Linked DNA regions of Caenorhabditis elegans. The protein of the gene in region 2 purifies or fractionates together with the protein of the main gene of each other region. This does not show direct contact. Each region holds a gene or a part of one and is shown on either strand. Other genes may lie near its edges.

The links.
Region 1: the proteins of F36D3.5 (region 2) and ule-2 fractionate together in Caenorhabditis elegans (co-fractionation; one large-scale study listed by BioGRID). This does not show direct contact.
Region 3: the proteins of F36D3.5 (region 2) and exos-3 fractionate together in Caenorhabditis elegans (co-fractionation; one large-scale study listed by BioGRID). This does not show direct contact.

Annotation. Positions count from the first base shown.
Region 1 is NC_003282.8:14,630,657-14,640,227, reverse strand, and holds ule-2 (Uterine Lumin Expressed/locailized), read right to left. Parts: upstream 5,103-9,571; 5' UTR 5,098-5,102; coding exon 4,978-5,097; intron 4,859-4,977; coding exon 4,394-4,858; 3' UTR 4,204-4,393; downstream 1-4,203. Other genes in the region: srlf-27 (SXP/RAL-2 family protein Ani s 5-like cation-binding domain-containing protein), read right to left, coding at 226-344, 2,285-2,477; irld-4 (Receptor L-domain domain-containing protein), read right to left, coding at 5,859-5,974, 6,282-6,597, 6,777-6,925, 6,982-7,051, 7,101-7,103.
Region 2 is NC_003283.11:16,505,761-16,519,281, reverse strand, and holds F36D3.5 (BRCT domain-containing protein), read left to right. Parts: upstream 1-4,041; 5' UTR 4,042-4,147; intron 4,148-4,192; 5' UTR 4,193-4,221; coding exon 4,222-4,288; intron 4,289-4,798; coding exon 4,799-6,428; intron 6,429-6,578; coding exon 6,579-6,699; intron 6,700-6,743; coding exon 6,744-7,155; intron 7,156-7,201; coding exon 7,202-7,578; intron 7,579-7,625; coding exon 7,626-7,740; intron 7,741-7,785; coding exon 7,786-8,010; intron 8,011-8,056; coding exon 8,057-8,157; intron 8,158-8,206; coding exon 8,207-8,522; intron 8,523-8,572; coding exon 8,573-8,712; intron 8,713-8,761; coding exon 8,762-8,905; 3' UTR 8,906-8,920; downstream 8,921-13,521. Other genes in the region: F36D3.4 (Major sperm protein), read left to right, coding at 1,652-1,735, 1,783-2,073, 2,128-2,385, 2,465-2,689; srr-3 (Gustatory receptor), read left to right, coding at 10,577-10,783, 10,839-10,985, 11,090-11,226, 11,287-11,458, 11,619-11,697, 11,745-11,814, 11,866-11,977, 12,121-12,342; Nuclear hormone receptor family member nhr-54, read left to right, coding at 13,365-13,489.
Region 3 is NC_003279.8:10,516,473-10,525,973, reverse strand, and holds exos-3 (Exosome complex component RRP40), read right to left. Parts: upstream 7,596-9,501; 5' UTR 7,594-7,595; coding exon 7,430-7,593; intron 7,379-7,429; coding exon 7,102-7,378; intron 7,053-7,101; coding exon 6,813-7,052; 3' UTR 6,716-6,812; downstream 1-6,715. Other genes in the region: F59C6.3 (uncharacterized protein), read right to left, coding at 488-599, 652-742, 788-956, 1,216-1,264, 1,310-1,515; dhhc-12 (Palmitoyltransferase), read right to left, coding at 2,069-2,236, 2,279-2,400, 2,445-2,538, 2,601-2,831, 3,050-3,167, 3,361-3,440, 3,503-3,591, 3,792-3,822; UPF0598 protein F59C6.12, read right to left, coding at 4,010-4,186, 4,233-4,373, 4,812-4,873, 4,916-4,998, 5,045-5,103; ndub-10 (NADH dehydrogenase [ubiquinone] 1 beta subcomplex subunit 10), read right to left, coding at 5,361-5,423, 5,506-6,068, 6,457-6,613; nlp-4 (Transthyretin-like family protein), read left to right, coding at 8,072-8,074, 8,122-8,266, 8,316-8,605.

The DNA.
Region 1 (9,571 bases), on a different chromosome or scaffold from region 2:
GCCATAATGAAACATTTGAAAAAAATTCAATTGAGCTACTATTTACTACTACTACTGATATTGAGACATTTTTTAAGCATTTTTTTGTGTAAAAAAAAATTAGCGAACTTTTTTTTTTGATTTCCGTCCAACACAAGAGTGTAGTAACAGGAATACTCATACTTATGTCAACACCTTGAAACAGTTAGAATTTTTTGAAATTAAAAAAAAATTAAAAAGATTTACCCGAACTCCAGCCGTCTGCTTTTCTGACCATTTTTCCACGTTCTCCCAAATCTCCGATTTACTCAATTTGTCGTTTTGAATAATCGAAAAAAACTCTTGACGATTAAGCTCGTCTATTCCTGGAATCTTTGGTTTTTTTGTTTTCACATTATTTGGAGTTTTTTTGTGGCATGCTATTAAAGTATATTGAAACAGTATTTTAAAAAATTTATTTCAAAACGGCTATCAAATTGAAAGTTTAAAAATATCTCTAAATTTCTAGTGACCTTTTTATGTCGACATACAGTATAAAAGTTGATATATTTGCTATTGTCAATTTCAAAATTATTAGATAAATATTTAAAATTTTCACAGCATCGATGCATTTTGGACATGTGTTACATTAAAATCATAAACATTATTCCATAATATCAAAACTTATTCAATTATTTAGTGAACAAATATTACGTTTAAAAAACTTTGAATATAATCTGAAACAGTACACACCTTTTTAAACTTATTTTGAGTTTGTCGAGACAAAATCTTAATGTTAAGCAAAATGAACACATTTTTTCGCAGATTCAGAAAAATTATATTATGTTTTCGATAATGTCGAAAAATATTGTGCATTCACTGTAATCAACTTCTAAACGTAAATATAAGTTTTATTTTTTTGTTTTCATTATCTCAAAATATTAGGTTGAGCAAAAAGTCTTTGCAACATTTTGAATTTTTTTTGGAAAGAGTATTTATTAAAAGCGAACATGATTCAATGGGTAATACATTTACCATTAGTGTCTATGGCTTCTTGCCAACCCAACGGACGTTGAGCAATACCCTCCGCACAGAACTCCTGAGATTAGGAGACAAAGAAGTCGTCCAACAACGTTTCGACGACCTTTTGATCATGAAACTTCTGTCCGACAAGGTGATTCTGGAGTGAGCGGAACAAATGGTAATCAGTAGCGGACATGTCCGGCAAATACGGTGGGTGAGACAAAACTTGGATTCCAAGTGTCTGGAGCTTCTGGCGGGTCCTCAAAGCTGTATGCGGTCTTACGTTGTCATAGAGCAGCAACAATTTTGATCCTCCTAGGGTGATGTAATCGATGAGCATAGATCACCTTATCCAATTGAATAGAGTACAGGCCAGCGTTGATTTTAACGAAAACCTGGAAGAAGCTCTCTGAAAATAACACGCTTACTGCCCCGCCAAATTGAGAGAAGCACTTTTTCTCGTAAAGTTCTCTTTTGAGGTCAGGTTTCACGGTTTCACGGTTTCCTCGACCGGGGCCCACTGTTTCTTTCTGGTATGGTTAACCTACAATACCCATTTATCATTTCCAGTAATAAAATCCCTAACTCAGCCCGTCGTTCGTTTTCTAGTGAGCAGCGAAAGAGAGTGGTCACAACGCAAAATTTTCTGAGAATCGGACAATTGAGAGGAACGAGTTGACCAAACTTTGGAACCCTTCCGGTTTCGTGGAGATGGTTGATGATGGTTATTTGGGGATGCTTGAGAGTCGCAGAAAGTTCGCGGTACGTTGCTCGTAGATCATCTTCCAGGGCTCTCGAAATATCCTCATCGATATTCCAACGAGAGCGACCGGAGCTTGGTTTATCATCGAGGTCGTATGTCTTTTTCGTGAACTTTTTGAATCAAAACTTCATGGTATTATAGGTGACAGAGTTCTTGCCTAACACTGCACACGTGTTACGTCGAGCTTCGTTGCACTTGCAGCCTTGGAGGAACTCGTACAGAAAAACTCCTCGGAGCGCGTGGCGTTTGGCGAGCAAATTCTCGGTCATTTTGAACAGGACCCAAATGTTTTTTCAAATGCATTAAACATGCACATCACGTACTATACCAACAAAAAAACAAAATGGGAAAAAAACAAGTTAACGCTGAGAAATGAAGAAAAATACAAATTTTGCAAAGACTTTTTGCTCAACATCAACAAAAAAAAACAGAAAATTATTTCAGCTGTTTTTGAAACAGCATAAAATTACCAGTTTTTACGCGTTCTCAGAAAAAAAAAATTCTCAGAAAAAAAAAATTCTCAGAAAAGTCCCGACTAACCTCTTAAAAACGGCAATCTTTGCTCAATTTTTGCATTATAAGTGTTTTGAGTCCTCGTTGGAACCGTAATTGGCTCAACCTGCGCCACCGGAGCCACAGTGGTTACTGTAGGTAGTTCAGTAGAGACTCCAATAGTGAATGATTGAATTACAGCAGCCAGGCTGAATACAGGTAACAGAAAAAATAAGAACATTTTTTAGAGTTCAAGTGGTAGAGAAAGCGGAGGGAACACTAAAAAGCGAACTTTGAAGCATTGAAGGGGTCAACATAAGTCTCCAGGCTAATGTTATAAGCCGTTAGACAAATAAATACACCTGGCGGGGAGAACGGCTTTCACACCTTTTCTTAGAGATACATTTTGTATGCATTTGAGTGCTACTGGGGAGGTGAAAGAGTACATAAATAGAATAATAGTCTGTGCAATGTTTGACAGGTTGTTGAACACCTGGGGGAGACAAATATTTTGACCGGGCGTTTGGCTGGAACAGAGCAAAAAGTGTTGTCAAACTGTTCAATTTTTAGAATAAAAAATATATAAAACTTATAAGAAAAAAAAACTTATAATTCTGTTGATCAGTTTATTTTTATGTTGGTGAATAAAAACACATAGTGAAACATGATTTTTATAAAACATGGAAAATTAAAAAAAAAATTTTTTTTTTGATTAACCAAAAGATGAGCACTTTTGTTTACAGCAGCAGACATCTTGAGGGTCTACTTCAAGTCAGAAAACTATGAGTAAAAATATTTTCTAAACGTATTTTTCTGTATTTTTTATTAAATAACTTCATTTTTAATCTACTGGGAAATCGAAAATTTATCAGTGATATTTTAAAAAATCTAGACTCAATTTTGGGTTGAATCGGAGCTGAAAGTGTTGTCGAAGTTCAATGTCAAATTTCCTTCATTTTTTTTATATGATCCCAGGATTAAAAAATTTTCAACTTACATGGTTAAAAGTACATAATAAAACGGAACATTTTTTTTTTTTGATAATTAAAATCAAAATCTAATTTTTCGTTTTTCGATTAAAAAAATTACGAAAATTAATAATTCACGCTTAGCAAATTGATACAACTTGATGATTGCTCCCAGCACCGGAAAACTTGCGGGTTTTCTACTTTAAACTGTGTGAGTTAACCCATGAGATGTCGGGTGCTGTGTGAAACACCATATTCTTTTTAAACGTTATTTTTTAATATAGAACATTATATTATACATAATAAAAATTAGTTGTGAAACTCTCTCGAAGTGATCATTAATTTAAAAAAAAGTGACAATTGTGCACAAGCCATAAAAATTTACAGTTTAAGAATTTTTATACTTTTTAAAAATTCACAAAATTTAAAAATATAGGCCACAAAAAATATTGAATTGAAAATGTTTATTCAATAAATCTAAATCTTACCTGTTACTGGTTTTTAAGAGGAATTTGTTTTACGAAATTTAAATATTCAGCCAAAATAAATATACAGCGTCGACGGCAAGCCGAAATTTTCTATAGAACGTTTTATATTATGCTTGAATATTTAATGAATACCTATAACCATTTGTACTGCTGGTTTTAAGCTGGACACATTTTGTATAGTGCTGAAACAATTTAAAAATATTAAATTTTCCCATCATGTTTCATTAACTCTGTTAATATCGACAAACTGGAATTTTTCATTAGAATGCTGAATTCACTATTCTTTGTAATTTTCAACGTCAGCAAATGAACAATGCGCCTCCTAAATATGTGCGTTTAAAAATTAAAAAATAAAGTTTAAACAAATAAATAAATAAATAAAGTTAAATAAAGTTTTAAAAAGTTTAAAAGGTTAAAAAATAAAGCAATTCAAATAATAAACATTTGGCGTTTACTTTTTAACATCATGAAACAGTAAATTATTTGACAATGATTTATTAAAAATCCATGTATAGTTTCCAAATGAATGTAATTTGAAACCGCCTTTTATTAATCTCATGATAATTTTCATCATTACAAAAGTTAGAAACTGAACTTATTGAAAATATGAACAAGTTAATTGTAAACATTAGTATTTCGGTTTAAATAATTCAAATATATTGCATGGCATTGAGCACACATTTATTGTAACAAGATTTAAGTTAAAATGAATTTTCAATAATTCCATAGTTGTCGAACTCAATTTTCATTTGATGGCCCATCACACAACCGGATCTCATTGCAAAAATCATTCGTTTGAATAGATTTACATCACTGATTTTGCAAGTTGGCTGGTTTTTCAGTTCGTTCACAAAGCAAGGTAGGTACACAGTAATCCTATTGCAATCATCATCATCGAATTTCTTGAAATTCTTGTAACTTGGAGCAGGATCACAAGAATCAAAAATCTTGCGTAAAACTCCATTCCCAAGACATGGCTCCAGTTTTCCATGAAGTACGTCTAGAATCCAACGTTGATTGAACAAATATGACTGCAAAATTCTTGAACTATTGCAATTTAAGAATCCAGAACAATCTAGGACGTGAGTGACTTCTTCGATTAGTGCAAGATTTTCTGATTTCTCAGGACGGGGAATTTCATCAATTCTTGTGAAAAGACGTGGATTCTGAAAAGGGCATACGATTGAAAATAAATTAGCAGCACCCTACATCATGCGGGTTGGCTATGCGACTAGTCTTAGCCAGAGCCTGCTAAATGTGGGGCGCTCCTGAATCAATGACTTACCCTAACACAATTCATTATCGATTTGTATTCCACTTGACATTGCTCATTAGTGACAATTGGTGGAGGGGTACCCCATTGCCCGGAGACCAGAGGTAACAGGAAAAGAATGTAGAAAATCATGATTTATTTTTTTCTGTTTCAGAACGGTCTTATATATTTTTGAAAAACAATTGAATCGGTACTTCTTTGTTTGTATCAATTTTAAAGTTTAATATAACATCTGACTCATTTTCCCGAAGAAAAGTTTTTTTCAATTGAAAACGTATTAATTCAGAACAATTTTTTCACTGTTTCGGTGTTAAATTAAAAAAACACCGGAAAATTTTTCCAGTTACAGTTTCTTTCCTTGTTCCATCCAAAAATATAGTTAACGTTTCTGGAAAAATATCGCCTTAAGTTAAATATTATTTAAACGTTCTTACAATGTAGTACTAGGCAAATTCATATTTTATTACTACGTTACCCACTAAAGTACTGTGACTTACTATTAGAAATGTGCCCAAATAAACTAATTTTGTGATAACCCCTGTAAAACTTCTCAGCTTTAGCTGAAATCTCCAAAACGCGGAGTATTACGTGGCAAGAAATTTCGATAAATGCTCAATTTGAAATATTTTAGTGTTGTATCTATTTTTATTGTACTATCACTGTTTTGTAAGTTTAGATAATTTTTAAGCCAAACGCTCAGATATCAGGGTTTTAAATGCACTGAATTAGTTTCCATCTCGTATCAAAATATTGAGTTTAATTTTTGTACATGAAAACTTATATACAACTTGAAACGGTTGTCAACTTTTTTTAAAGCATAATCACTTTCTACTACATCATAAATATAAAAAATTACACACACAATCAATAATTTATCCAAATAATTGCAAATTTCAATATTTATGATATCCAGGCACAAAATAGACGTTAGTACTTCCCATACTCAATGGATGAAGGAACATTGTAGCACAGATGATCAATGTGAATAGGACGGCAGCAAGCGACATTCCTGAAAATTGATTTAGATATGGTAAATGTGACTCTCAAAATGAAATTGATGGGTTGTCGTGCTTCGAAATCAACTAAAACGAAGAACGGCAGATGCGAGTAGTGTATTTGAAACAGTAAAAAAAAATAGTAAATATGAAAATGTTCATAATTATCATAAGTCATAGTTTGGATTATTATGAAAACAAACGTACACTTATGCTCATTTTAACTACTCAACTAATAGTAAACTAAATACTGAGTCCTTATGAAAACTATGTGAAACCGCATAATATTTTTTCTTGTTATATATTTTTCTCAATTCTCACCTTCTGCAAATTGAATATTATAATTTGGCATCAATCTCTTTTCACACGAAAGTGGAGAATATGGTTTGTGGAACATTTCTGGCAGGTTAACAGTATCCAATTCCAGATTTCCAGAAATAAAAACTGGAAATTCATTTCCCGTAATCTTGACATCCTTATTCCAATCCACAAATCCACGCATATCACGGAGTCTTGTATTGTTGAGAATAACGAGTCCAGGGAATGAATTATGAGTTTTAATACTGACAAGATTTGGCATTTGAGGCATTCGATTGAATGGAGAATTGATTAGTGAAAGGGTTCCACGGATTTCACGCTGCAAAAAATAAAAATGCGGTTTCAGATTCTTTATTTTAGAAATTCAACATTACTCAGATAGATAACACTTAGAACAGAATTCGAGAAATTTCATCATTTGATAAAAAGTACAGAGTGCCTGCGCCCGGAAGATGTCGGACGCTGCATTTTCAGAAACCAACATACATGTCACCTTACCAATTTCTCAAAATTTGCAGCTTTCAAATTAATCACTCTCAAATGCAAATTTCCATGAAACACTTGACACCAGTTAGGCCACTCGAGGTAGTTCTGAGCGTCACGTTTCAAATTTTTAATGTTGCAGTGGAATTGGTTCGGGATTCCATCTGAAATACAGTTATCTAAATATCTAATTGGAAATTTTTTTTTAAATAAGCGTTACCTGTATCACAAGAGCTTCCAACTTGAGCCAAGACAACCAGAGGGAGCAGTAGAAAATTTAGAATGCAAAACTGAAACATACCTTCAATTGTTCGATTTTCTAGAAAAAAAAGTACTCACCATTCTGATTGTTGATTTGTCCAGGAAATAAATTATATATTGCGTATGAATTTGAAACGTCGTGGAAAATGTGCCAAAAAACGTTCGATCAAAAAGTTCACGGAAAATGTTTGTTTCTTTGTTATCAAAATAAATTGATAAATCATAATTTTAGATTTATACAGTTTTATCATAGAAAAGTTCAATTTGCACCCGAAAAAATATTCCAAGTGTTTCAGAATATTGTTATCAAAATTTTATTTGAAAGCATAATATTGGGATTGATGCAGTTTCACTTTAATTTAAATATTTAAATAGATTTCGATTTACCACTTAAATGAAATATCAAACAAAGCAAAAACAAAATGACCCCAGTAATTTGAAAACATGTTTAAACCTAATATTTCACTTCGACATTTTTTTTCGAATAATGTAATAGTTTTAAAAAATGTTGAATCATTATTTTCTTCTAAAAACGTTTTTTTTTCTATTATTTGAAAATGACAAGTTCATTAAAATAAACTGTGCGGTCAACATTTTTTGACTTCAAATTAGAAAAATACAATACCAAATGTTTCATAGTTGCAGCGGCCGACATCTATCGGGTTTGAAAACTAGGTAGATGTCGGGTGCTTGTCAGACTTCCCAATCACTGCTATTCCTAGCAAAATTTCGTTACATTCGCCGCGTCAGCACCACCCGAATATATTGTTCTCCCTAATATTTACCGACACATTTCGGCCTCTCCAATCCAAATTTAAAAGAGTATATTTAATTTTTACTCGGAACAATCTTTGCTCTTTTCAACACAATTGATTCTTTGATTTTCAGATGGGCTTCCCCTTTCGCCAATTTTCTCCCGAACTGCTCAAAAAGTTTGCATAACGTGCACGCAAAGTTTTCGATTTTGATCTTTGCGTACTTTGCACCCAATAGAAATATTGAAATTTGCAAACGTGACAATCTGAAAAATATGAGAGTTCAATTGACAAGTGACGATGTTTTTAATAAATTTTTTAACGGAAAATGTTTTTGGTTTTTATCTCCAAGAAGATTGCAGAAAGTTTTGTTCCGGTCCAGAAGAATTTAGCGTGGTTTGGAGCCAAAGAATCATTTTTTGAAAACGCCACAAAAAATTACAGTAGGTAAAAACGTTCTGGAAAATAAATAATCTAAAGGTTCAATCGAGCTATAATTCATACGTTTTGCTTACAACTCAAAATTTTACACAGATTTACTGCGTTAACGTTCATTTCTAAAGATACTCATTCGAACAAGGCAAGTTATTGACAATGAGAAAATACACCTGTTTCATATAAACGTTGTGAAATAGCACAATTTTTTTTTCTTCAAACTATGTCAAACAATTTCTACAGTTTTTGTATCTTTTTCATCTTATATCTTATATCTTTGAAAATGCTATAGTTTGGGTTACTATTCAAAAATATTTTACAGAAGAGTTTTTAAATTTTAAATAAGAAAAAAAACTAACTGATCCTGAAACCAGCATCCTAGATTTAAAACCTAATTAGTTATATACTTTTTCAAATCACCGAGAAAAATCTAATTAAATTTTTTTTGGTTAGTTTGCTCAACCAAATATCAACTTTCAACAACTTGCAATTTATTCTACTATTTCTCATTGTTAATTAACGCTTGCCCAAAAAAACTACCACTCAGTAGGCTTAGGATACCTTCAAATTCGATCAAATATTCTCTAAAATATTTCTGTTTCACATTGTTTTGAAATCGATAAATCATTCTTACCATTGGTTACCATTGCTAACAGATTTTTTTTCAGCTGCATTGAAGAGAAAAATTGCATTATCAGGTTAAATAAAAAATTTCAATCCAAAATTAAAACAACTGAGCAATATGATTGATCAAATGGCATATTCATGCCAGTTGTGAAACATATCCGGTTTTTTAAACCAAATCTTACGGCCATTTTTATTTCCATTGCTTTAGGGAATTCTAATTTTGTTTTTAATGTTATTCAAATTGAGTTTTCATATTTCTCACAATCAGCATTTTGACACTGTAAATTCAAAGTGTCCAATCGCTTCAAGACTGTTTTTTACAAATTCAATCGACACCACTTGATTTCTATTTTTTATTCAATAAAACCATGACAAAATTTGACTGAATGCCTAAAAAATCCGAATTCTGAGAAATTCGGTGCCTCTTTTTGAGATGTTACTGAGGTTTTTCAATTTCGGTTTTGACATTTATTATATACTTTTTCTTGATACAATACTTTGACACTATTTTTGAATTCGTGAAATCAAAACTCAAAAAAAAAAGACAATTGAAAAACCTTTGCAAGCCCTATATTTTTTAAGTGAAATCAAATTATCAAATTTTAAATCAATTCGGTTGAGCCACACTAAAATGGTAAAAGCAGGACCTTCATCACTACAAACTAACTAAAAAAACGCAGAATGTACTTACTCGTTGATTCCATTGAAATAATAATTATGGAAAATCACAAA
Region 2 (13,521 bases):
ACTTCTATGCCAGATAAACTAAAAAAAAATAATCTGACGAGTCTATATTAAATAACCTTGACTACCTCACGATTACGTCCATTTCTTTAGTCTGACCCAGGAAAAACTCAATAGTTAGTGCAAAAAGAAAGCCTCCAACCAAAGGGAAAAACAGCCAGACCCAGAGGATTTTTCCGGTTACATATTTTTTACGTCTGGAATTTAAGTTTTCATTCAAGGTAATAAAACAATTAGTTACCCGGTGACTGTTAAGTAACGAAAAGTCAAGTCTCCACTGAAATTGAACAATGTTGTCCCATAAGAGCCGCTCCAGCACACTGAATAAACTAAAAAGGTTCGTATTAAAAAAATTGAACTAACTTAGAAATATACTGGCAACCGATATAGGCAGAAGACTTTTATCCTCATCAGTTTGAATTATCCAAATTGATCCCAGAGTTTTTACTTCCTGAAAATCTTAAAAATTTAATTTTCCCGCCAAAATTTTTTCTCAGAAAATTTGAATATCCCGCCAAAAAATTTTCTCGAGAAATTTGAATTTCCCGCAAAAATTCATTTCAGTTTCTCAAAAACACTTTATATAGACTTCCGGCTCGTATTCCCATTGGTGAAACAATTTGCTCCAAGAGCTTCAGCCACAAATTTCTTTACTTCCGGCTTGAAACTGTGTGTGGCGTAAACCTTGTAAGGTTTTCCAAGCCAAGATATGGGCGGGGTCAAACTTTTGGGAGTTTTTTTTTTAATTTTAATATTTAATTTAAATTCTTTAAATAAATAGTATTGTGAAATATATGTGAGTTGGGAAATTTACACAACTCAAGAAAAATCGAAAATAGTCCCCGCTCACATCTTGGTTTTATTCGAGATTTTCCATATAACTATAAAACAAATTTTTTCGTGCCGCTTTTATCAAAATTTCAATAAGAGAAAAACCAATTTCGAAAAGCGACGTAAAAACCATAAGATACTTATAAGAGCCCATTGTTTTTGGAGATTTTGTCACAATTAGCCATATTAGTAGCGAATTTGTAAAAAAGGAAACGTAGGAAAGAGATTCCTGAAATAATTTTAGAAAAGTAGACCAGTCAAGCATTAGCATAGTCGGTTGAAGAGAGATGATATGAATAATAAAACATGATAACGACGAATCCTGGGGGAATTATATTTTTTTGGAACATATGTTATGTCAGAATCAGAAGTCTATTCTACTGATGTTTTTTTTATGAACAGTTACTAAAAAATGAGATCTAATAAGCTTCTATTCAGACACGGGAAAAACATATAAAACATATATTTTATTACAGCATTAGCAAAGAAGTTACCTCAAACTTCCGGTTACCATAACACTAATAAAAGTTTTGATTCAGTTTTCGCTTAAAATTACAACTTTAAATTTAAATTTTAAATTCCTACTACATTTTTTTTGGAAATTGAACAATTTTTATTTCCGTGAACTAAAAAACATTTTTGAAGAAAACTTTAAAACAAAATAATTGAAATTTTAAAACGTGTCAAATTGTGAAATGTGGAACTGATCTTATCTGTGCCCCTCTCAATTACAGTTTCACAAAATCAGTATTCAAAACTTGTCCATAAATTGGAATTTTTCGACGGATAAAGAAGTACCAGCTGGAATCAAAAGATCTTAACGATGATCTCACTGGCTTCCTTGATTGCCACCGCCTCGGCTACTAGCACCATGATTGCCTTGTGCTCCAGCAAGGATCGACAAGCGGTATGTGTTACAAGTAGCTTCAGGTTAAGATTCATCATGATTTTCAGGACCGTAAAAAGTCTAAGAAGGGATCAGCATCCAAGTCATCACGTGCTTCTTCCAAGTCTCGTAGATCCTCGAAATCCAACAAGGGACCTGGAATGTTCGGAAAGTCTGGAAAGTCTGGGAAGCCAAGCCATGGAAAGTCATCAAAATCCAAGAAGTCTTCCAAATCAGAAAAGAAGAAGCTGAGACGTGAGAGCAAGGACAAGTCGTCAAAATCGAAGAGATCCAAGAGATCCTCAAAATCTAAAAAGTGTGACAAGTCCTCCAAGAAGTGCGATTTGAACAAGGCTAAGGTAATTTTTCCCACAGTTTCTAAAACTAGAAAAAAAACCTTTTATTAATTCTAGAACCTCTGCCCACCGATCAACTCGACAGATGTTTCCGACGTGTCCATCAAATCGAATTCCGGTGAGAAATCCGAGAAGTCGAAAGCTCTGAAGTTGGTTCCCAATCAGCCAAAGTACACATTCCCGGAAGGACAGGGTGCTGCTTCAGTGAAGTCGTCGACTCTTCGAGCTTCGCCCAACAAGCTTCCATTCGCAGCGACGGGAGGTGTTCAGACAGTCAGCATTGCCAACAACACCAAGTCGAGAAAGGCATTCAAGGTAAGCAGAGGGAATTTGGTTTAGACTTAGGCTTAGAGTTAGGCTTTGGCTCAGGCTCATTAAAAATATAACTTTCCAGGTCAAAACTTCCGACAACCTTCTCTACCGCGTCAACCCAGTGTTCGGATTCGTTGAGCCCGGTGACAAGCTTTCGATCGATGTGCTCCGTCATAATGGAGTCGAGAAGACTGATCACTTGATTGTCCTCACATCCAATGCTTCTACTGAGCAGAATTGTGCCAAGGGAGTCTTTGAGAGTGATCCACCACGCGAGCTCACCGTCATTCCATTGGTTGCCAACTAGACTATGCCCAGCCCTCCATCATCAGCCTGTCTAAAGAAAAAGTGTCTCGAAAATGAATTTTTTTTTGATTGTGTGTGAAAATATGATGAATTTTGATTTGAATAAAGATTTTGATGGAGGTGATCTGTGTTTTTATATCTTGTTTGTTTAATGAAAAAAATCTTCAAAGATACTATAGTGTTCTGGTCATCGAACATCAAAAATTGTAAACAATTCCAGAGATCAACAACTTGCTACTTTTTGAAAGTCCCTCTATGACAGATTTTCTTACTGAAAAATTTATTAGATGTGAACACGGGGGAGCCAAGACGGGTTAAATGGGCTCTTTTTTTTATTTTTGGCAAAATGCCATTTTTTGGACTTTTGTTTTATCACAACTTTTTTCCTTTTGCACTTATAAACTCAAACTTTTTTCAAAAAATCCGTCTCTCTGAGTAGTATCTTGCACATAAGTTTCAAATAAAACAGAGCAAAACCCGAATTTTAATTCAATTAAAACATGGTTTTTTGGGGGTAAAAAGAGCAAAAAATTTTTTTTCAAACTGGGGAAAGCCGCCCTGGGCTCAATTTTGCTCCAAAATTAGTGCCGTTTTCTGCTCCACAAAAGGGCAAAATATTTCTAGTAGGATTTCAAATATTAGAGCATGAAGTCACACGGCTCTGTAGTTATTAATGAAAACAAAAGGGGACATTTTTTCGCGAGCCAAAAAAGTGTCAAAAAACGCGAAAAAGGGGCGGAGTCTGCACACTCGGCATTTATTAGAGGCGGCTTGGCAGAATCCAAATCTATGAAAACTTTTCCAAAATTCTAAAATTTTTATTTTTGTTTTTTTGTGGGGCCTGTATGAATTGTTGAAATTGGAATTCGACACAAAAACCCCTCTAGCGCGTCTGAAAATTGATATCTAGGTAAAAAAAAACGTACCGATAATATTTTTAAACAACCAAGAATCCAAATCCGGGAAACTTTTTATAAAACTCTTTGATTAAAAAAAAATCGATTTCCAAGTTGCTAAGCAATTTCGAAGTTGATAGTAATTTTTTCGATATGTCATCTTTTCGGTTGGTCATCTTAATTTTTTAAAGAGATGCAAATTTTGTAGTTTGAGATATTACAGTTTTCTCTGCAAAATGCTTGAAATAAATGGAATTTCGCTCCAATTTTATTTGAAAGGTGTTCCACTTGAATTGCTTGCCCAAGTATTTTTTTTCTGAAAACTTGAGTTTGATTCTCGCGTTCAAACTTTTCAAAAAGATTTGCCAAATTTATAAAAATATCCAAACGTGTTTTCTTCTGAAAAACTTTTACAAAAAATAAAATAAATTTGCACGTTTTCCTTATTTCCGTGACTTTTCATTTGATCGTCTTATCTCGTCATTGAAATCTTCCATCCCTGTCATTGCCGATGTGGACAACTTCCCAATCTACTGCTTTTCAAAAAAAGTGATAATCTTTCGGTGAGTTTACATTTCAGATGTTCAGTTTTAAACGAAACATTTCAGAGAAAAGTTCAAAATTGGTGTTAACAACAATGCAAATAACTAATTTTTATTTCATTATCGTTATTCAACTAGGATGTATGAAAATCGGTCAATCAGGTGAGTCAATGGAGTGATGGTATTCAATTTAACAAATTCCGCGACCGACGTTTCACAGGCCTACACGCTGGCGCATTGTGACAGGGGTGTGCAGCTGGCTGATGATCCTTTTGCTAATGAGATTTTCAAGCGTTGCCAGCGTGGTTAAAGACTTCCGGCGTGATTTTTGAAGGATGCCTGCAGGAAGGCCATGCCGGCAGCTTTAAAACACACAGGCAGCGATTGAAAATCACGCAAGCGTCGTCAGCAAACCACCCAGCAACGCGCCATCACCAAACAGATGCTCATGCGTGTTTTGTAGGCGTTTCGTGCTTGGTTCAATTATCTGAGGCGCCGTCGGTTGTGAGTACAGTTAAAAGGTTTACCAGAAAAGATGCGCCGGTGACGTTGCTGAAATCTGAAATGTTCTTTCTGCGAGGCCTGGGAAAGCTACTCGCATATCCAAAAACATTTGAAAAATGAAACTAATAAGCTTGACCAAACTATTCTTGTTACCTTCAACATTTCCAGCTTCATCCGATCTCCAAGCAATCAGTGAACAGTTTCGGATTCTATCGCGTGTCACCAATGCAATTTCCCTTCAAGCTGGAGCAATTAGGAAGGAAATCAAAGCTCGTGATCTTCTATCAGAACTTCTTCATATGCCCAGCGATCAGTTGAACACGGTTATGAACGTAAATGTGGAGGCGGCAAGTTTGGAGTTAAAAAGGATGCACCAAGAATACACGAAGTTGATTCAATTATCTAAAAATGATACACAAGCCTTGTCGGATGATGATGTTAAGGCTATGATGGCCACTTTGAGCTTCATATTGTTTTTCTCACAGCAATCGTCTAGCTTGTCAGCATTATCCAGTATCTCAACAAAAAAGTTGTTGAGTGAAGCCGGAACTCTTAGTAGTTACAAAATGTTTGCCACTAAATGCGCAAAGTTATCCTTGTTGGAAGATTTCATTGCTCTTTTTGACGACGACACAGGAGTGACCCCGGATTCTGCAACGGTTGCTGAAATTATCAATAATTTTTATATGGAGGAACAGTTGATGAACACATGCATTGATAGCTTGAGAAGTTTGGGTTCCAAAATAGAAAAATTGTCCAATTGGAAGGATTTAGCAGTCTACCGACAATTGCTAAATGGGAAGAACAATATAATTTGGTTTGAAACACACCGAGAATCCCTGTCATCGATGAATAGTACACTTTTGCAAGTTCTATCTACTTTTCAAACAGCAAAACCGCTTTGGAATAGCCCAAGCTCTCTCGGTCAGAAAATGGTTTTTGAAGCAATGGCTCAACTCAATAAATCAATCGTGGAAGCAAAATCTCATAATATTTCGCCAGTCAAGCAAAATTTGTTGTTCACTGCTGGCTTCAAAAACTCTGGAGATTTTTCGAAGATTGCTGGTGATTTGAATAGTAATTGGTTCAAGAAGCATGTTGCGAAGGGTTCAAGTACAAATTCACTGAGTAATGCTCTTGAAATATTTCAAACAATTTCGGGAAAAATGGTTGCTTTGGATTCGTCGTGGAAAGAATTAATGCATGTAACCAAAGGATTTCAAAACTTACCCGTTGTAGAAAGAGTTAACAATGCTGCAGATGTCGCGACAATCGGATTGAATTTCTCGAAACTGGAGAGAATCATTCAGGACTCGAGAATACATATCAACAACTGCATGAAAGAGACGCTGTTAGCAAGATCAAAGCTAAAATCATTTGATGCAAGCATTGTAGAGTATGAAAAGTATATGTTCCCAGCAGAGAATATTATGAACAGACTTGCAAACATCAAGGACATTATTGCAGAGCTGACCGTCGCCTTGAATTTTATGGTTTATCCGAATACACAGGCACGAGACCTGTTCAAAGATGACTGTCACACACTTTATTGGACTCTTAGCAAGCTTGACGTCAACACATCCAATGCGATAACAGTGAAAAATATGCTGATTAGGGATTTCAAAAAGCTCACTCATCATTCATACAGCTTCATTGACACGATGAAAAGCATTGCAAAAATCTCATCGGAGCTCAAAATTGTTGAAAAAACTTCTGCTGGTATTTATGACAGCGATGGACCGAATCTGGGTGACCTTGTATCGGAACTCGAACTGGTGAAAACTTCACAATGTTTCAGGTTAGTTTGCACGAAAACGAAAAATGCACAAAAAGTGAAAAACAGACAAGTTGTTAATTGTAAAACATACAAAATAAACATGTACAGTTACGTGTCGGTTGGTCATCCTTTGAAGGTCTAGTATATTCTTGCTTAAACTTAATTTTTCAGCCATCATTCTGAGACCATACAAGAACTGATGTTGATAGTTCACAAGCTTTACAGTACACGATACCCTCCTGATCACGCAACTTCATCAACAATGCATGAGTACCTGGATCGCCTTGAAAAGGTTTTCCAATTTTAAATAATTATTTTTAAACTTGATTTTTTCAGGTGCAAAATAATCTAGCTCTTGTGGAAAAGGAAATCAAATCGAGCTCTTCTCAGATAAATGCTACTAACAATCCAGTTCTTTTGTTGAAAACTCCTCAAGCTCTGATTAAAAACATTGGCACGAGCACCCGCGTACTGGAAGATCTTGAGAATGTACGACAGCACCGTCAGTTTCTTTTTTCGGTTCGAAACTTCACTGCTGATGTGAAGAAAGTGATTGTTGGAGAGAATTTGATAGAATGGTTTGATCCGGAAGAGAAATTGATAGAGTTGCTGGAAGAAGCTGATCAATTGAACGAGTTTGCTGGGAAATTGAGAAACGGAAGTTTAACGGAGATGTCACGCGTGTTTGACGAAGCGGCAAAAATAAAAGGAATCAATGGGGACTCACAATCATTGAACACTTTGTCAAGTAAGGACTATCAAATTTAAATTTTATGTTTAAAAAACTTTTACAGTTAAACTTCAAAAATCAGTTGGCATAGATCAGCTGGCTGCCTCGAAAGTATTCCAGAAGATTCGAGAGTTCAACTTGGATTTCGCAAAACATGAAGCCGCTTTGAAGAGTGCAAGTGTCACAGTTAATTCATTGGTTGCATATTACGATGAAATATTTGGAAATTCTAAATCCAAAATCCTAACAATTGAGAAACACATCGATAACTCATTTCCTTGGATCTATATTTTCTTGATTTGCATTGGATCGATGATTTTAATTGGATTGCTTTGTGTTGTTGCATATGGATTCACAAAAAACGGAAGAGCCAAGTACATGAATCTATACTTATACTATTTCGGAAAGCCGCTGGATTATGAAAGAAGATGGAGATATTCGGTATATTGAACTGGTGAAACTTTCACTTCATACTAAACTTGTTACAGTTGTTCCTTGACAATCAGGGTGGAAAGAACACTCTGTTGGATGCAGTTCGGGAGATTAACAAGACACATGTTGTGAAAGCTGTCAAGATGGGAGCCTACATAAATGCATTTAACAGTAAGATTAAGGAAAAGCTAAATTTTTAAAATTTTTGTTTTTCAGAGTTTGGAAACACAGCTTTGCATGTTGCCACGAAATCAGCTTTACCTGAAATTGTTAAGATTCTAATCGAGCATGGAGCAGATCTAACATTGCTCAACACATTGAACAAAACACCAGAACAGATGATTCCTCTCGCTTCTCCAGACCATTCAAAGGATATGGTTGAAAAGCTCGAGAAGATCCGAATGTTGTACAAAAAGGCGAATGGGAAAAAATACAGAATGAGTAAGTTTAGAATAATCAGAGATAAATTTACGAAGATTGTATTTAGGTGTTCCGCAAAAGTTTCCAGCAACTTCATTTCATATTTGGATGGACGAAAGAACTGACAACAAAATCACCAACGATTTTATGGAGAAGTTTCAGGCTATTGTAAGTGTTCTTTGCATTTCGTGTCTCTTGCAAATAATACTATTTTCAGACATCCGATGAAGCAGCCCCGAACACAACCCATGTTATTGTGAAGACGGATGAGAATGGCGTTCTGGAAACTGATGATCTTGACCTACTGTTCTGGGTGTTTAATGGAGCAATTATAGTGAAGGAACAATGGATGATAGATTGTCTGAACGAGGAGAAGCTTATTGAGCAAGATTCAAAGTATTTGGTCGATAGTGTCAAATACAAGGGATCCACTTTCAAGACTGTTCTTCAGTGGAGTGAAGCTATGGCAAAAGGAGCTATTCCATATCTGTACGGGGTATATGCAGCAATTGTCATGACGGAATGCAAGAATTGTAAGTTATTTCAATTAAATCCTGTTAATGTCCAATTTATAATTTTTCAGTGGTAACATTGAATACCCTTGTCGCAGCCCATGGTGGATTTATGATGAAAACCTTCCCAGGAAAGGATGCCTTCAACGTTGGCTCACGTCCATATAATCATGCAAATCTTGGACCACTGTTTTTGATTCACGATGGAACGGTTTGTAATTAGACCTGATTTCATTTGAAAAAAAAAACATTTATTCCAGATCAACTTGAAAGCCTATACTGCTGATCCAGACAAGATGTACACGCTGTTTACTGAAGAAGAGTTTATCAAATTCATGCTCCAAAGAAATATTATCAAAGATACTCGTGAAACACCGATTACTGTTTTGAAAGCTGATAAATAAATACTTTTCTTGGAATTTTTTAAAAGGTATGTGATCTTTGAGTCTTTGAGAGTGACGCGCGAGCTCACCGCCATTCCATTGGTTGCCAACTAGACTGTGCCCAGCCCTTTTTTGATTGTGTGTGAATATATGATGAATTTTGATTTGAATAAAGATTTTGATGGAGGTGATCTGTGTTTTCTTTCTAAAATTTAATTTAAAGATCTTTAAAGATCCTTAGTTTTCCTGTTTGCATTGTGTTACCAAACGTCAGAAAATGTAAACAATTGAAAGTTTACTTCAAAATGTTAACAAACATCCGCTAGAGCACGGCCTCTCTTCATTTCAAAAAATAAATAAATCGACGTGATGAACTGTCTCTGCGTCTCTCATGGGCGAAAGAGTGAGCTTTTTGAGCCGAATTTGTACTGAAAACGGTAAAATAGGCCGGAAACGGCTGATAGTGAACAAAATCTAATAAAAATTTACTAACTGCCTGATCAAACACATAGAAATTATATGAAAAAAGGGCAAAATTGTAAATCACCTATGAATACGCCCACATGTGAAAGTTCAAAATTAGTGATTTACCAGACAAAACTGATTAAAGCCGGCGATTCGCTGATAAATCTTTAAATTTTTTATTAATATATTGTCAATTAAGACTAAGTGTATCTATTTTTATGAAAGTTTACTTCAAAATGTTAACAAACATCCGCTAGAGATCAAAAATTTGCTCTTTTTCCTGAATCACTCTATGACTGATTCTCTGATTGAAGTTTAATGTGAAAATGTCTCTGAATAAGGCTTTTTGTGAGCGCGGGTTATACCCACCCGTTTCTTGCCCGGAAAGCGCCTCCAATAAAATATGAAAAAGAGGAAATAAACTGACTGCGAGAAATCAAAAAAAAAAAACATGGCGATAAATTAAAAAGGTGACAAAAACATCGATTTTTTTAAGTTTAAGAATATTCTATACAAAGTCCTTAAACTTAAAAATGTCTGGAAACTATTAAATAACTATAATAGTTTCCAGAACAAATATTAAATTTATTAATAGTAGGACTTGATTTTTCGAAAGTATATATATTTTTGTGAGAATGTTTTTGGGGAATGAATAACGGTTTTTTTAAAAATATTTTAAAGAGGTTTATCGATTTTTTGATGAGTTTTTAGGTTTTCTACTAATTGTTCATACTTTAGAAACAACTATTTTTTGGAACCATCGATTTTTGGAAAACTTTTTTTAAAAATAAATTATCTTTCAAAGGAAATTGTGGATCTGGAAAAATTGGAAAAATTGGAAAAATTATCTGGAAAATTTATGGATTATAAACGGAAAATCCATATTATTTGGAAAAAATGAGCTTATTTAACGCCAAATATCAATAAATTTTCCAAAATATCTCTTTAACATTGTAGATCAAAATGTTCTTGTACTTCCTAGACTTATGATTAATTTTCTGATCGACTTCTGTTCGTTTGCTCTGACTCACCGAAGAGCACCGAAACACTAACGAAATAGCGCGTTAAACACATGGAGAGCGGCAGAGAAAACACACAAACGAATTGAGCAACTCTGGCCATTTCTCTGACTTTGTGCAAAATATGAGGAGAACCAAAATGTTCGAGTTGAAATTGGTTTATAATGTCGGAAATTTCGGAAAACTTTGTAAATTCGAATAGAAAAAGATGGTCGTCTACCCAGCTGAAGTGATGGAAGTGTCAACTGCTTCAGCCCCGAATATTTTTGGAGTTTATCCATATCTTCTGAAGTTTTCACCTTTTAATTGCGAAAAGTCAAATCCTTTGAGATTTGTTTTTATGATTTTTTCATTCATCACATTCTTGGCGATGGTTTTTCGAGCAGGATATATGCTTTTTTATCTCGATGTGAAGGTTAGTTTTTGTTTTAAAAGTATCTGTTGACGTCTGCTAAGTCCTAGATTTTCAGGCTCTCACATTAGGATTTGCCGAGCAAAACCTATACGGTTTCATTTCGATGGAATCATTCTGTCTTGTCATTGCTCTTTTTAAAATAACAAAAGTTGGGCGACTGAGAAAAGTGGAACAAAAACTCGCAGAAATGCGTGAGATGAGGGTGAGATTTTGAAGTTCTGCAATAGAGTCACGATTCAACTTTTCAATTGTGATGCTTTTAAATACCGCTTACATACAAAGCTTCAACAATCGATTTATTTCCAGATAACCTCCTTCCACGAATCTCACGACAAGTATTGGAAACTGTGGATTGAACTTTTCATCTTCAATAGTTTTAACCTCGTGCTTTTCATTGGAACGGCCATCTACTTACTTTGCAATAGAGTTATTATTGTTGGAACGTAAGTTCAAGAAGACTACTAGACGTTCACCTCAACCATTCCAATCTGAAATTTTTTCAGTAAAACCAAAAGCTCCTGGTACTATTATTTCGATGCTCCGGTTATGATTCTTTGTGCATATGCAAACTTCCTTCATCTCCCAATTCATGAACTTATTCATACTGCATTTGCAAGAGAATTCCGAGTTTTCAATGATGAACTAGAGAACGCTTCGAAGAATAAAGAATTGCTTGTGAGTGAAATTTCAGGACTGTAACTCCAGCCAAAACATAAGCCTAAGCCTTAACCTAAACCTAAACCTAAACCTAAACCTAAACCTAAACCTACGCCTAAGCCTAACCTATGTCAAAAACTTAACTGAAGGTACTGTTTTGTATGATTCTTGTTTTCAGAACCCTCAAACTTTCCAAAGATTTGCCGATCGTCAAATTAAAATGTTCGAATGCATAAATCCATTGACCGAACGAATGAGTAAGATTTATTCACAGAAGTCTTAATTAAACATTAAAACTTTTCAGATCGACTTATGGCCTTTGCACCACTTTTCATACTTACTGCTCTAACAAACGTGCTGTACCTTGTGACAAAGTACGTATTTATTTGAAAAAAATTTAGCTTTTTTTCACTGAGGTATTACAGCTTGAGATCTGCAACTCATACATTATACTTCATTTGCATGGTCGGAATGCTGATATCATGTATTATAATATCAAAGATTCTTCTCTATCCTCCAGCTTTAGTTCAGGAAGCTGTAAGTCATACTTTCTCTGGAATCCAATAGTAGACAAAATTCAAGCCAATTTTGTACAACAAAAAATAATCAGCTCTAGAGAAAATGCCCAAAATTAAAATGTTCTACCATAACGGCCTGAAGCACAAGTTGCTCATTTTCAGATGCTCCACACGTCTACTGTTCTTATGAACGACCAATTCATTCACCATTCCAAGGATCCTCAAATCTACAGTATCTACCGTACCATGGTTGATCGATCGATGCACAATCGATCTGTGAATGTCGTAATACGAATATTCGATGTGAATCGGAAGAACATCGAAAGAGCCTATTTTATTATATCAAACATTGTGCTCGTCATGGTTGTTTTTTCAGCGTTTTGATTTGCTGAAACAGTGTCTGTAAATAAATGTTTGAAATTTCGCTTAACTTCTCTCAATATGATCTATGATTCCATGTTTTCTCACCGATGTTCACATTGCTTGTCTGGTCTCCAACCGTTGCTCACTCTCTAACTCTAATATTTGATTAGTCTTTCGCTACTCTCTTCAACCGACTATTTCTCACAGACTCTATTCAGTCACTACGCAACCTCTGTGAAATGTTTGAATGTCTGTCTCATATTTTTTTTGAAGCCATAGGATTTTTTTCATCAAGTTTTTTGTTCAATTTCAGATTAAATTTACGAATTCTGTTTAAAAAAAAATGTTCCACACTTTTTCAAAGTCGAAACTGTTAAACTTTAACTAATTTAACATGCTCCAAAAATGACGTCACAACTGGAAAATGTGCGTGACGTCATTGTTCCGGAAAATGTGATCAAACGCAGACATCGCTCAATGTCCGCTGCACATTTTGCCAACACGACGTCACGCAAAAAACTTTCGAACAGCCGGTATCCTAACCCAATCAAAACTTTGAATCGCTTGAGCGAAAGCAGAGACGAGTAGAGATGAGAGACGCAGATAGTATAAGGTTCACAGGTTATTCATCGCGAACCTAGATAGATGTCGGCTGCTTGCTCACTATAAAATATAATTGTTCCAAGCACAAAAATTTAGAACAGTGATCCTCAATAGTTTTAGTTGACACAAAAATCTGCAAAGCAGGAGTGCGCGGCAATCGGCAATTGCCGGTTTTCAAAGTTTCCGGCAATTGCCAAAATTGCCAAAATTGCCGAAATCACCGATTGTCATATTTTCGACAATTTTCAAACCTAATTATATTTCCGAAATTGAAAAATTTCAACTTGTTTTTTAGTATTCGGTAAGTGATTTTCAAACAGAAAAAATTTCGGCAATTTCCGCGCACCCTTGCTGCAAAGCCTGTTAATTTGTTTGCCCTTGTCGTTTTCTTTCCGTAAAATTAAATATTTCCAATATAGGTATATATTTCAAGTTTCAGAATGGAAATCCCCAGTACTTCCTCAGAAATGACATATTTCTCAGTCAAATGCGCGATTTGCTATAAAGCCGGTCACGGGCAACATTTTGGGGTCGAAACCTGTCGAGCGTGTGCCGCATTCTTTCGGTAATTCCTGTAAAAACTTGCTCAAAAAAGAA
Region 3 (9,501 bases), on a different chromosome or scaffold from region 2:
TTTTGTATAGCTTTTTCAGTTTTTCACATTCGAAATAATTCAGGCACGTGCCTATGGAATCGCCTCTTCAAAACGAAACACTATTGCAAAAAGTTGGGTTTCCAAATATGGTTGAAAGAGTTTCAGGTGAGTACCTGCCTACATGCCTACAAAAAAGGCCGAGAATAATTTTGACTCGGCTCTCGGCGCGAGCCGAGAGCCGAAAAAATAATTCAGACTCGGCTCTCGGCGTAAGCCGAGAGCCGACTTTTTTCAAGAGCCGCACAGCACTGCTACAGCCCATTTTCCACATTTTGTAGTGAGCATTTTTCCTGTTCAACATTAAATTAGATATTAAAACCGGGTGTATTCCTGGAAGGAGGCACGATAAAAATGCAGGCGTATCATGTCTTTGAGGCTGACAGAAAGACACTTCTGTGTCACTGTGGAATTTTTCAGTAACGAAGAAATTGGCAATAAAATTTGAATAAAATTCTTTATTCTTCTTTCAAAAATAATCCATCACAATAACTTCTCCAGATTCCTTTTCCAATTTTATTGGAGCAGATGCACGTTTTGCTCTTTCAATATTCCCATGCTCCGGTGCTACTTCACTTTTACTGTAATTTTTAATTTTTCAAAAAAAAAACATTTAATTCTCATGTTTCTTACAAAGATCTCTTCAAAAATACAAAGAAACAGAAGACATTCAACCCAATGTGCACAGTAAGTAAACCTCCTAGAATTATTTCCAATGTTGGATCTGCAAAATATTTATTTTACGCATGTATTTCCAGTAAAAACTCACTTTTTAACATAAGTTCTGGCATTGGCATAGATCCTTCAATTGAATAAACGAATCCCAAAATAGTCAAAGAAGTCATTATAATTGTTATAGCCGAGAACACAGTCAGTATCGCAAAGATCACACGTGTCGACTTGAGAATAAGAACAGATGTCAGTAGGCCAGCACATATCTGAAAATCAAGTTTTGCTGCTCGCCTTCAGGCGTGCTTTCCTGCCTTGTGCCTACCGGTGCCTGCCCACCGCCTATTTTTGGAGGATTACTATTCATTTTCTTATTACAGTTGCTTTCATTTAAGCAGTAGGAACGCGTGTAGGCACAAGGCAGGTTTTTTTTATTTTAAAAAGTATCGACCAATCAGCTATTTTTGTGACGCCTCATGATTGGTCGCGGAACGTTGGTGGAACGAACCCATACTTTTCATAACTTACATAAGCCAGTCCAAAGCATTGAGTTACAATAGATGCGACCGATCCTGATCTGAAAGATTCCAAGTAAAAAAATAACAGTTTCATTGAAACTCACGCCAAGAAGATCGTAGTGAATAAGAGGAATATTCCAATGAAAATATTCCATCCAGAATAAACACATTCTGGAGCATTTCCCAGTTGATACGGCTCGGGATCCGAAGATTTTCGAAAAATCAGCTCGTCCTCATCATCAATGGTTGTCTTCTTGCTCTCCGTCAAACTTGAATTTGAATTGATTTTTATCGATTTTGTCGTGCTCATCGCTTCGAGGAAGAAACGAGAGTATGAGAACTTGTGATAAATTTTTTTGGATTTTTTAGAAGAAAAAATCCACGGTTCAAGAAGGGCGGTCAACACGTTTTTCAATGGTTTTAAAAACTTCCAGAAAAAAAAAACATTATTTCCTGTTGAAAACCAATTCAGCATTTACCAAATTCCAATTTCAACATCCACGCTGTATGTGAGCTTGCAGGGTGGAGCTCGCTTGCATTGTTGCTTTTTTCAAGTTTTTTCTTGAAGTCAGGAAGAAACTAGTCATTGGAAAAATATGAAAACAAGCCGAGCTCATTCCATCTCACCAAGCCCTAACAAAATCGCGCGGCTCCAAATTGGAATTCCACAAAAAGTATATTTTCTGAAATTTCTATCCCATGATATTTGTTATTTTGGTTCCATCAAAGTGATTCTGAGCAACCTTCATTTCTTCAATTTTCAACAAAAAACCCGATTTTCAATTCCTTTTATTGCCAACCAAAAAAACTCAATATAAAAAACCACATTAAAAAAGAGAAAATTAGACAATTCTACAATAATTCTACATAATTAACTCCTTATAATCGTTATACGACACAATTTTGCGGGTTTTCGGAATAAAAAATATCTTCCAAAGTGGCTCATCTTGACAGTTCATGTATTTTCTCCAACGAGCTTTGATTGTGAACCAAGTGAAAGGTTTACGAGATTCAGCGTCCGACTTTTGAAACTGGAAATTCTGAATTGGTTCAGATGTTGCCAATTTGATTACCATTTTCATCGCCATAGTTAATCCAAATGAAATGATTCCTACGTAGACACCAACAAATCCCCACATAATCCAATGAAGTGTTACGAAAAGGAAAAATGCGAATTTAACCATAGTGTCTTCGGCTGGAATTTGAGAAGTTAGAAAGGTTCAAATGCATCAGACATACTTCCTTGAGAACGTGTAATCAAGTAGTAATATCTATTAAAACAATATGGAGGCCAGCATTGATCATCCGGGATTGCAGTTAGTTCTTTACGAGTCTGAAGGACTAATAATTTACTAGTTTAAGGATAGGCAGGCACAAGGCAGGCACCAAACCAACCTCTATCCATTTCATCCAAAACGTTGTAGCCATCAAGAAAAAGAGGCCCGTTGCAATTTGAAGATAGAAAAGAAAAAGGAAGAAGTGGCTCTGATTGTGTGCTCCAACACATTGTCCAATATGAGGGCAATGATGATCCATACGGTAGATACATTTGTCACAAGCTTTACAATGAGATGTTGATGGACCTTTCCAATTGTTGCATTTGATACAAAATGAGTCACTGGGAGTCTGAAAAGTTTGATTTGAAATTTTAAGAAAAAAATCTCAAAAAGGCTCTACAATTTCTAGCTTATTGAGAAATGACTGTAAAACAAAGAACGTGTCGATTTACGTTCTTTGTGTGTACTCCTCGTGGAGAAATGTGTATTACAGTATTTGTCTCAAATGCTTGATTTCGGACGACCGTTTATGCTTATGACGTCATATCTTTGTTTTTGGAGGCTTACCCCTGGATTCACAACAGGTGTCAGAGTCCGGGCCTTGTAGTAGTGAAAAACGACACTGTAGTAAATGTAGATAAGGAGCACAAAACGGAACACGAAGAACGACATATTTTGGCATTCGCTGAAAATACACTTCTTTAACTATTGTTAAATAGAGTTTCAGCAAGTTTATCATGCCTGCCTGCCTAACGCCTACTTTCTTTTCCATTGGCGTGGACTTTTCGCGGTAGGCACTCATGTTGGTGCCAGAACCGACCTAGAGGCAGGCAGGAAGGCATTTCTTGCCTGAGTGGAAGATTGAAGGTTTCACTCACTTCCATTCAACTGGTATCATCTTGAAGATTACCACATATGTAACATTGCAGAGTGTGCCCACGAAAATCAGCAGACATAACTGAAAAACTATCATTTCTGCCTTTCTCTCTGGTTGTGCTTCCAATTATCAAAAAATCTCACACGTCCACCCCACAATGCGACGAGCTTCAATACATCAAATGGGTCGAATTTCGAGATATCGCCCAACGATTTTTCCACCAAAAAGTATACTGAAAAAGGGTGATCATCGATATTTAATATTTTTATTGTAATTTTAATTCTCTGCTTAAAGGCGCACAGATTTATTTGAGTGGGTCTAGTTGCGATCAAAAGTTTATGGTAACGCGTTAAATTCCATGCTACCGTAAAGTTTTCGCGGCAAGACCCATCCAAACAAGCTCATTTTAGAATGTTACGTCTCGCAACTGACCTATCCGATTGAAAATCCTACAAACATCCATAATGCAACGTGGAGGAGATAACTCCCGGAAGATCAGGGAATAAACGAAAACTTGAAAAATCGATTTTGAAAGGCCGCCAAAGGGCGTGGAAATAAATTTGAAAAGGGTTCACGTTTAACATTATTTTTATTTTAAATACTTCATTAGATACTTTCCATCAGACAATATACATTAATTATTATTTATTTCATTTCTTAAGCTCAATTATCTGCTCCCCGCACTGAAATCCGACTGGAACGCCGTCATCGTCAAATCGGAACCGGCGATACAGTTTATCCGTCAATTTGTCAGCTACCAGTGCTTTTCCACCAATCGGACATTTGTGATAAACACGGCCGCTTGAATTCATTGAAAGTGATGAGGGCTGAAATTTTAGAATACAGATCTGAAAAATCTGTGCTTCATCTTACTTGAAACGAATGGTAAATGGTTGATTGCCCGATTCGGAGCTCTTTTTCAGTGGAGTCGAGTTCCGTGTAAACAAGTGGAGTGTCGTCGCATCTCAGAAAGTTTCGCTCAATTCCACAAAGGCTTACCCACGGGAATGTATCCTGAAATTTCATATAATTTTTTTTCAGCTCCCTCCACGATTTTTTAATTGAGTATTTAAGCTCAATTCAATGGATGAAACTTTAATTAATTGCATTCGATAGGAATTGATCGAAAATCTAGAACACTTTCAGATTACCCAGAAACGAAATTTCAACATTTTTGAAGTGAAAAATACGGTACCTGGTCTCGACACGACAAATATTTGTTAAACGAGAAAAGGTGTGCGCCTTTAAAGATTACTGTAGATTAAAACTTAAGATTCTGTCGAATTATTTTATAGAAAGAATTGGAAACATCAATAAAAAAATCCGGCAGAAATCACAGTTTTTAATTACAGTACTCTTTAAAAGCGCACACCTTTTCTCATTCAACAAAAATTGTCGTGTCGAGACCGGCTACCGTATTTTTGTTGATAAATCGCAAATTTCGCGTTTTACCTCATATCTTCCCGTCTTGTTTTCCTTGATCTTTCTGTAGAAGAAATTAAGAAACTGAATATCTGAAATTTCGATTTGTTAACAGTTTTTCCTGTAAAATAAACCTTTATAAGCCGCTGTAAAATTCTTCATTCTCGAATCGTCCAGAAATAGGAAACCATTGTGGCTCACATAGTAAAAATATTCTCTGAAAACTCAAATTCAAAAAGAAACAATTAATTTAAAAATAAAACCTTATTTTTCCGTTATACTGCCCCTGTGTGTAGAGACTTCGTGCAAATGTCAGTATCATTTCCGAAACTTAAAAAAGTTAAATTTTGATTTAAATTAATTTGAAAAGAAAAGCTGACTGGTAATATTTCCGTTTCTCATAAATTCATATTCAAATCTTTATAAATCAATCAAACAATCTACATTTATTCACTTTCTGAATGGAATAAAAGAACGCAACATGAAAAAGAAAAAAAAGTTGTTACGACGGAATAAGAAAACTCAACACAATTCGTTCTAAAAAATTTCATTGAAAAAGAAAAGATTGACAGCGTAGAATTAGAAGAGACGGAAGTCGGACTTCTTTCCTTGATCCTTGTCGAATTCTGGGTCTTGTGAGACCTGAAAATATAAAATTTTAATTTTCGATCCAGGATTCTCTCGTAGCTTCTTTTTTAAAATTAAATCTTGAAAGAATATTTACCTTCTTGTAGTATTCCCAATCCTTGGACAATGGCTTGTCACCCTCGAGTGCTGACTTGCTCATTTGGAACTCATATGGTGGCTCATAGTTCTTCTTGTCTTGATAGAACATTCCCTTCTTCCAGAATGAATAGTCAAACTCTCCATTAGCAAGTCGTGCTTTATGATCAGCAAGCTTAGCTGCACGCTCATCCATAATCTCTGGATGACGTCGTTCCCAGATCATTCGATGCTTCTGCTTCATATAAGCATCACGAACATCGGATTCTCCTCCCAACTCTCCGTATTTCATGAAGAAATTCAACTCATTCTCTTCCATATCCTCAATAACCTTGGCACATGGTGAATGATCAGGATTGTTGTAAAGCATACACCGATCAACACGTTGGCGGAGGGTTTGCAGAATAAATCCATCGACCATTTTATCAAGACGGTACTGCTCATTGGCTTCGTAGAAGCAGGCCTTGTCGTTCACTCCGCATTCGTCGATTTCCGGAACACGTGTAAGTTGACGGTGATAGTAGGGTAGACGGTTCTTGTTGTTGAGTGGTTGCACAATAGTCTCTGAAAAGCTGACGAGTTAGTAGAATAGATTAAAATGGATTGTTTTGCCTAGTTGATTTATTATGTGGAACTGCAACTACTAACTGTACATCAGCTTGAGGTAGTCGAATAACTTTGGTTTTTTTCTAGTTTAAAATTATAATTTACAGCAATGATATGGGAATTAGAAATTAACCTTTACTTGCACCACAAGTTCCCAAATTTTTTGAATCTGGATAAAACCGTAGACAGTATCAATTACTTGGAATTAAAACAAATGGTGAAAGTAAATAAACTTGAACGAAATTTGTTTTCTGTCAATTCTTACATTTTGTAAATGGTTTTAAATCTAATTTCAAAGCTGCTTCTTCTTTAAATGATTCTCCAACTTGAGAATTTTAAAAATTACCTCTGAACCAAGTTGCTGGGGCGTCGAAAGCCTTATGGGCATAATAACGGAATCGTGGGTAGATGGATCCTCGTGAATCGATATCACGAACTTTCCAGTAAGCATCCCAAGATGCTTTATCGTCAGCTTGACGTTGCTCCACTAAGCCTTCACCCATACTGAATGTCGAAAATTTTCCATTGTGAATTGAGAATATTGAGTAATAAATATTAAAACAACGAAGAAACGTTGAAAATTGAAATATTACATAGAACAAGACGATAAATTAAATTTTTAAAAAGTTCAACAACAAAAGGAAAAAAAAATCAACAATAGCAGGAATTACACTGAAAAATTAAAAATTGAGATAAAGATTCTTAATCACTGACAGATCGTGTGTAATTATTCTGAACCAGGGTGATAAGCTCATCTTCGTCAGTGATAAACTCTGATTTATTGATAATATCGTGAATCTTGATAATATCATCAGAAGTCGAAGCACTAATCCAGATTCTTCCGTTCATTCCAACAGTGATTTCGAATTTGAAGAACTTGCCAACAGTTTGAAGAATTTTGCAAGATGGGTTGATTAGTCGACGACAATGATTCAAGGAGACCTATAATAATTTTTAAATTTTACAATAAATAGTAAATTTCGTGTCTAACTTTGAACATGAATCCTCCATTTAGCTGTCCCATTCCACGTGCTCGTTTCTCGTCATCCACACAGGTAAGCTCTGCTTCAGTTCTTGGAGTTGTGTCGAAAACTGTTGCATAAATAATATCTCCAGTTTTTAGATTCGGCCTATTCCTTTTAGTAGCACCTTCGAAGTTAGTAAAGTTGATCATGGCGTATTCGGCAGTTCCTATGTCCAAACGAAAGAAATCACCAGTTTTTGAAGTGACAATAGCGATTACTCGGTCTCCTTCCTGTGGTATATATCTGAATTTAAGAAAAATTGTGATTTTAAATGTTGTTCGTGATCATTCTTACCTTTTGCTGTGAACATTTAACCAGACTTTTCCATCATCGTTGTGGAAAGCTCCAGGTTGAGTGGCAATTCTCGTTTGGCCACGTACACTAATTCCGTAGCCAATGATTGAGGAATCGCTTGAAGAAGGTTCATTGATAACGTCGCCAGGGAGATATACGGTCATTTCTGAAAATTGAATACTCAATGATGAACAAAATAACGTTTTAAAAAGTAGTGGCGAATAGAAAAACCAAATTTAAATACCGCAGGAGGAATAACGTAATAAGCTACGTTAATAAAGTGTTTTCAATGAGTATATTAACTGAAAATTGTAAATTTTTGCAATAAAATTAATCAAAAAGTGATAATATTTCGCAAAATAAACGGAAAAACTAGAAAAATAAGAAATAAAAATGGAGCGGCTGTTGAAAGTCTGCGACTTGACGTGACGGTGTTTGCGGTGTTGTATACCGTACCCATTGATTTTTATTTGATATGTTGGAAATTGCAATTAATATTAATTGTCAAGGACTAAAAGAAAAATAACACTGAAAACATAAATGCGTGGCAATTTTTTAAAATAAATATCGACACGTACACCGAGAAAAATTTAGTTTCAAATACAGTTCAACTGAGTTTTTAGTGGTCAAACTGGTTTGTAAATGGTATGTAATATAGTTAGGTTTTTTGAAGTTAAAGTTTTCCCATTCAGCTAGTTGTTGTTCTTTCCGGTATTATTGCCACGTGTCTGGCCGTGAAGCAGACAGATTTTTCCGTGCATATCAAAGGACAACTTGTGTGTGATGATGTCCCTGCTGCCAACATGCCAATGGACATTTTTTCTGAAGCACAAATGTGTAAGAGAGTTTGAAATCGTTCAACTGAATCTAAAATCTTTACTCTCAGTCAGATACGAAGATTTTATGGATCGATGGACAAACGAGAAAGGAGAATTTGATTTCAAAGCCTATGTGACAACTGATGCTTATATGATTACTCCTTATGTCGTTATCATTCACAGATGCTGGGAATCTAAAGAAGTTCCACATCGTTGCGATCGGAAAATCGTCCAACCAATCCCACCACTCAATGTCACTGTTAACTCGAAGACTCCTGATGAGAAGAAAGTGTACAACTTTGGAAAAGTCGATCTTCGCTTTAAGAATCCTGCCGAAGTTACTGTGAAATGTGGATAATAATAATTTTTGTTTGGAAATCATAAATAAAGATGTATAGGTCATAGATCTCATTTCTCTCGTTTTACATTTCTCCGGCGACTCATAGTCACTGCAAAGTATGAAGTGGGCGTGTCTCCCCCGTACACAAACAATCGTCTCAGGCGGAACCCGTGATGTGTCGGCCGCCGCGCTCAGTCACCTCGAAGACCAGCGGTTCTTTCATCGAGACCATACTATACAGAATCATTTCTGCAGTATGTATCTCGTAATTCCCATCAAATTGGTAGAGATGCCAACTGCGATGAAAGGGAGACGGGCAGGCCGCGAGCGTGAAGCAGTCCTTTAGGGCTTGATGACCGCACGGAGCCAATGAATTTTGGAGCCGTAGTGGCCTGCTCTTCTGAGCAGTTGTAAACTTGTGCTAAAAATGCTAAATATTCTCATAGCAAAACCTTGAATAACAAACATGAATAGCTTTTATCTAGAATACACAATTGTTCGGAACTACGAAGCCAATTGTCATTGGATCCGTTGGACGTAGCAGAGTACTTGGCGGCACAGAAACCTCGGAATGAGTACGAGAAGGACGAGGATTTCGTATCTTGTCACCCACCCCTGGCTGGGAATGATGACATCCACCGCACCAAATGATCATTCTATCACTGATCATAAATACATTCTTATTAAGAAGGAACTTCCTTGTATCTCTTATTTATTAGTGTTAAACAAGAAATTATCAAGCGAGAAAAATGATTATTGAGTTGTTTCAAAGAAATAATCACTTAATCTCCAAAAATCGGTCAAATAATGTATTGGTTTATTTAAATAACACTTCCTTGTATCTATTTCGCTGAACTTATACGCATTCTTCCGTATCTCCATTGCTTCCTGGTTTTATCATGACCCTGACCATT